Linked DNA regions of Drosophila melanogaster. The protein of the gene in region 2 interacts with the protein of the main gene of each other region in a pairwise test. Each region holds a gene or a part of one and is shown on either strand. Other genes may lie near its edges.

Region 1 (3,322 bases), on a different chromosome or scaffold from region 2:
GAACCAAAATGAAATGAAATGTTTGGAAATTTGAAAATAATTGTTGACACTTTATTATTGTACTGGCGTCGGCAGTTGTCGTTGCTGTTGTTGTTGCCATCGTTGTTATCCCAGCGACGTAACAAGTGTCTGGCCCCGCACCTTCAGCCCCCTCCTCCTACCCTTTGACCTCTTGGCTGCACATGCGCAGGCCCAAAAAACTTCCGGTACAACAAGCAGTACAACCACAACGACAACAACAACGAGCAGTATGTAAATGGGAAAAATTTAGTTGTGTCACATTAAAAAGCAATTATCACCTTAAATTAACCGACGGAGTCGGAGTCGCATACATTGCCCATCGAAATATTCAAATTGCGCGACTCGACATTTTTTCTAATGACTTACCAAAAGGAGCGAAGGTAGGCGGGGGAGGGGCTGTCCAAATTAACTTGTTGCTATTTTCAATTGGATGCCTTCGGTTCGGTTTGTTTGGGTTCGGGAGGTTTCAAACGGTTGCGCTTTTAATTCGTTTTAAATTGTCTCGTAGCCGTAGTTTTGTTTCCGTTTTATTCGAACGGGAAAAGTGTTGGCTACTCATCATTGATACGGATTAAATCATATCTAAAATATCATTTGATTTAGTATTTATTTACTCTACAGTCACCTCTTGTAAAATATATATTTATAATTTGTCACAAAACCATGTGATGCCATATTTCCATATGCTCCCATTTCCATAGATCGCAGCCCACTGTGCCCGTCCACCGTTGAGTGCTATGTGGCCTGGACATTGACAAAACAAAATGAAAACTTTTTCTGTGTTTTGATGGAAGCATTTGTCAGCGATTTTCCAGCGCCAGACCCAAAAGCGCGCTTTAAAACATTTTGAACAATTTAATTAGAAGCACATAGGCCAGACCTCCAGCAAGCCACCCTGGCCAAATTATCATGTGCAGCAAGAGCAAAACCGTTTCCGATGTGATTTACGAGCAGCATGTGTGACATTTGTCGCCTCCACCTGTCCGCTTACATCAGCGGCAATTACGGAGAGAGAGAGAAAGAGAGAGAGATGTTGGCTCATCTACAACTGGAGCAGCTTCACCAGCAGGAGCAGGAAGAGGCTTTCTAGGAGGGCGCACCACCAGGGAAGCTTGAGCCTCTTGGCTGTGACACTTTGCAAAGGGTGGTGGGCTAGAAAGATCTCCTCGTGGAGGTAGCACTGCTGGCGTCCGAGAGTTAGTCCATTTCTGCACTCCTCTCCTTCGTTTGTTTCCATCGGCAGACCCAGCAGGAGCAAGAGAAGCCACATGGATCTGCAAGGCCCCTTGAAACCTATGAATCGTAGGTTTTCTGAAATCTATCAAATATGTTGTTGAATTTGGTTCCGCCTCCGAAAAATGCAAAGTTTGCTGTGACTTCGGGGCTCAAAAAATTCGAAGCCTGAAAAGGTGTCTATTCTGGAGCTGGGCAATTAATTAACAAAGACTGCGGTCGCGGGACTGTATACCAGCTTACCCCTTCCCACGCCTTTTGTGTGTGAGTGATATGATTTATACTCACTGGCCGGCGCCACATCGAAAATCCTCGGCATCGGTCGGCATCTTTCATGTCTTGAAACTGGGAACTTAGAGCTCAGAACTGGAACCTCGGTGCCCAGAATCCAGAATCCAGTATCCAGAACCCAGAACTCAACTTAATTCCCTGTGTGCGTGAGTGTTTTGCGGACGTTGCTAAGGATGATGCTGATGATGATGAGAGGCGGCTGCGCTTTTAATTCCCGGCCTCGTCTACCTCAGCTTCAGCGTCCTGGGCTCAGTTTTCGGAAATTCTGCATCGACTTTTCACACTTCCTTCGGCTACGCTCCAATTTCAATCGGAACACCCCCGCTGACTGGACGGCATTAAAAAGAGATTTGCCCGGCTCGCTAATTATATTTTGGTACACGGCGAAAACACCTTCCGAGCCCTTAGCCCGGAAACCCTTGACCTTACCCCTACCTGGGTGGGTGGTGGTGTGGCTAATGAGGTGCCCTGCAGGAAGGAAGGATTAGGCGGGTCGCAACGGAACGGATTTAACTAATCCAAGGCCATTGCCTAGCGCCGGCTCAAAGTTCGTCTCAATTGGGCTCGCAATCGGATTCGCACTCGCAGTCGGATGCAGATTCGGATACGGGTTCGCCCGTCGAGAACTGGGCCACCGAGTTTATGGCCCGATGCAAATGAGGCCCAAGCTCACAAGCCAAGCCAGCTAACGGTGCAGCTTCTGCTGCTATGCTACTCTCCTACTCGGCTGCTTCAACTGCGACTCTGTCCTCCAATGTTGCACTGCAGCACAGCAGCAACGCCCCCTGGTAGATCGCTCCGGGAGTCCGAGTCAGCCGCATCTATCAAACTGCGAGGAGGGGCAGATACCCACTCCGCGCCACAGATGAGAGCCATGTTCCCGGGTATTATAAAGTGCATTGTGGCTACCAGTTAAGTGCATGTTGCTGGCCAGAGGGTTCGGCAGACGGAGCCCAGCCCCCGACTTCTTCTCCGACTTCATTTCGACTGCGGCATCGGTAGGTGTGTAAACTATGTTGCTGCTGCCCCATGTTGCCGTTGCTGATGCTGTTGCTGCATGCCGCATGTTGCCGCTGCCGAGCAGTCAGCAGAGCCAACCCATCAAAAGCCAAAACGCCACGGGGTAGGACCTTTTTTTTTTAGCTTTTTTTAAGCCAGTTATTTTGATACCCTGAAACCGAGGTATATGCCTTTTTATGAGAAGCGTGTACAATATAACCGAAATACACAAATATGGTTGCAATATATATTTCTTTGATTGTTTAATCTTCTGAATTTTCAATTTGGCAGATTATGGGCTTCGAACTATGTCGATAGAGAGTAGTAAGAACTTCGGCACTCCATGGCTGGACTCCTACTTTTGTCTTAGCTGTTTGGAGCGCTTTTTGCAGCCGATCGGAGTAACCGAGTGGGCGCGTTTACGTACAACATCCACCACAAACAGCCACATCCCCATCCACGTCCGCGTTCACCTGACGCCGCCACTGCTGCTGCAGTAGAACAGCTTCTGTTTAGCATGGAAAACAGCAAACTGGGCTGGCTTTCTTCCATTCATGCAGTTGGGCCAGGCTGGCAACAAGTTGCCAAGCTATAATTACTGCATCCATGTCGCTGCAAGTTGCTACTTCATAAATTAGCATGCTGCTGCTGCTGCCGCTGCTGCTGCATGCCGCTTGTGCCTCCTGCTGCTCCAGTCAGCGGCCAGCTCTTTGTCATTGCCAGAACTTAGGCTAGAAATGGCGCGTTTTCCAGGGAAACAGATCGAGGCCCAAAAGCA
Region 2 (3,217 bases):
GCAACTCCACCGGGATAAGCGAGCTACAAATCTTCCCCGAAGAATGTTTGGAATTTGCGAGGCATATTTAAAGAGTTTCACAGCTTTCGGGGGACTCGCAGCCAACTGTTGCGAGTTCGACCCTGCTTTTTGGCCAGAGTTTTCCCTGTTTTGGCAGCGAAACTCATTTTCATTGCACACAGTTTGGCAAACTCAGCTCTTTTAATGCGAAAACTTTCAAGACAAACGACAAGGGGAAGTGCATAAATAAAGTGTTTAGCTGGTTTTTTATGCCCACGAAGTGTGTGCGCCATGTCACATAATTGCACCCAACTTGAGAGGGCGACTGCATGGTCCATTTAAAACGGGCTGGCTTCATCCACCAGGATGCGGCTTAAAGAACTGATGCAGCGCATCCTAGGATTTGTGGGCTCTTGTTGCTGCCGCGTCCCTTTCGAAGGACGTGCCTATTCCAAGTGTCACAGCAGCCGAGCGAATCTCTCATGGCCGCCGGCTGTCAGCCACCAGGCGGCCTCGGCGAACAAGTTACATTTCGATTTCCGAATCCCGTGGCTTGCATTCCTCCCTCTGCCCTTCCACCATCGCCTTGGTCTGCCATCCATCACGGGGCTGCACTGACAGGAAATCCCACTTTATCTGAATGCTTTATTACACTAGTAAAATTTTCGATCCCACAAATACTTAATTTATGTGCTGTTACAGCAAAAAGGGTGTTCAACACAAAACACTTTAGACTCAATTTGATCGCACTATTAATTTAATACTGCTTTTTCCCCTTGAATCAAACGATTTCTCTCTGTAGACGTAATGCAAGTATCTTGTGCGAAATGGTGCTGAGAAAATGTGAGAAAGATTTACTTTTTGCAGAAAAGACTTTTATTAATATCGAGGAAAGCGCGGAAGAGAACAAGCCAAAAATGGATTTTAGATTGGCTGGAGTCCTGCGCCTTAAGCAGGGGATGACTCGGTGCTGGCTTCCGTGGTTGTGCTGGTGCTGGATTCGGTGGTCGTTGAAGTGGTGGTGGTGGTAGTGCTGTTGCTGGGAAGAGTGGCATTTGGAGGCAGTCCCCACGGTCCCCCGGGTCCACCGGGTCCACCAGGACCACCCTGGGGTCCTCCCTGCGGTCCACCCTGGGGTCCTCCCTGAGGACCACCCTGGGGTCCACCTTGAGGTCCACCCTGGGGTCCGCCCTGTGGTCCACCTTGAGGTCCACCCTGAGGTCCACCCTGAGGTCCGCCCTGGGGTCCACCTTGAGCGGCAGCCACGGCAATCAGTGCGAAGAGGGCGATGATGATGAAGGAACGCATCTTATATCTGTCCGTGGAACTGGTGTTTGATACCTATTCACCAGTTCCACAAGCCTTTTATACTCTCACCTCGCCAGTTCCACCGACTTCGTTACCAGATGGTTTTCGGTGACGTCGTCGCCGATCAAATAAACGTCAGGTGTAATTTGGTAAAACCGGAGCCGGACAAAGAGACTTGAGCTGTTCCAAACGCTAGATGGATAGATGAATGAATATCTGTTTTTCCCCAGCGTCACAGACCAGCTGCTGTTGATTCGATTTCAATACTGCCGTCGTCGCTCTTGTCTGCGTTTGTGCTTGTGTTGGCAAACACAAAGTGTTTGTCCAGTCGACTATTTATCACCATAGAACGTGGTTTGGGTGGTTTTTATAGCTAATGGAGTTGTCGCCTTCTGATTCGATTCCATTGGGCTTGCGGCTAATTCATCAGTTCGACCAGCAGCGGATGCGATTTATGAGTTTGCATGGGTCCTTCAAATGCAGGACCAATAAATAAATGTTAATTTAATTTGCATTGGTCGGGGAAAATTGCAAGGTCTGAAATGCGCACTCGAAAGTGCACTTGAATAAATTCGAGCTGTGAAAATAGAGTTAAACTAGTGCATACTTTATGCAATCAACTCAGACAATAGTTTACTCCTTAGTGCAATTAATATAATAAAGAATAGTATACAATATATTTGAAAACTGGCCTAGTTTCAAGTTGAATTTAAATGAATCAAAGCAATCCAGCTTAACCACTTTCAGTTTAATCACATTTGCGAGCCGTGTAGGCGAGGATGGCACTCAGGCTAATGCAATTAAACATTAATCATACGCACTGTATGCCCGGGCGGACCAGCAGGATACATATGTCGATGTCCGAGAACCGTTGCCGGGTTACACTCACAGTTTTAGACCGAAGCATCCACAAATTAGCAAATTGGACATAAATTGACTAATTAGTGCTAAAAGCAAGTGGCCAATGTTTGCTCCAGCCACACCGAGCACAGGCTGCAATCTCTTCCTCCTCCACCCGCCCTCCTTGTTAATTCTGTGATACAGAAGGGAAAGTGATAATTCAATGTGCGTAAATGGAAACTAATTTCGTTTTATTGCGGGCCCCCTTTTACCCCTTCTCCTTGCCACGACCCTGCACTTTCCCACTTGGCTGGGGATATTAAAATGCAAATTTCATTTGCATTGAAAATTTATCGCTTTAATGAGCGCTGCAATTGCAATTAAAAAATCTGAACAACTGTGGAATGTTTCCCGTTCCCTGCCCCAACTTTTTGCCCATTTTCGGCCTCTGGCCATAATCCACGGCCCAATGCGTTCGCTTTCTATAATTTGCCGAGCTTAGTCCGACCAAGATCTTCAAATTTTAATTAAAAACGCTTTGCATATTTTGCGCAATTGATTTTTGTTTTCCGCCCAACCAAGTGCAGTTAAAGAGGGCGAAAAGTGGGGAAAATGTGGCTTGGGTGTTGGATCGAACGAATTGTGCCATTATTCCGGTCACGCTTTTGTTCTCGAGAATTGATGGTTTAATCAGCTGTCTATCCGATCCGTGGGAAGGAATCCATCTGCTCGGATTTGCCTCGCTGAGTCGTAGGTCCTTTTTTGGTGCCTGGTAATTGAAAAACACACAGGCGCCTAGTGCATCAATTAGCAAAGCAAACGCAGCCACTCAGCCGGCAAAGACAAAACGCAAACCACTCCGAAGGACCTTGCCCCGGAATCCTGAGAATCCTGGGCGTCCTGACTACTGCAAGTGCATTCTATTAGTTGCCCAAGCCCCAAACCGAGTTTTTATCTCTGGGCAAACAGTCGCAAGTGCCGCACAAAAGACAAAGAGGCGAGCTATTGTCCTCGATGGATCACCCATCCATTCCCAGCTCCACTGCGCCAAAGTCTATATTGCCATGCA

What was found.
Region 1: the proteins of CG13947 (region 2) and CG42851 interact in a two-hybrid assay, tested with the Drosophila melanogaster proteins (one large-scale study listed by BioGRID).

Annotation. Positions count from the first base shown.
Region 1 is NT_033778.4:24,807,398-24,810,719, reverse strand, and holds CG42851 (uncharacterized protein), read right to left. Parts: upstream 1,396-3,322; 5' UTR 1,259-1,395; coding exon 1,064-1,258; 3' UTR 613-1,063; downstream 1-612.
Region 2 is NT_033779.5:777,295-780,511, reverse strand, and holds CG13947 (uncharacterized protein), read right to left. Parts: upstream 1,340-3,217; 5' UTR 1,309-1,339; coding exon 949-1,308; 3' UTR 857-948; downstream 1-856.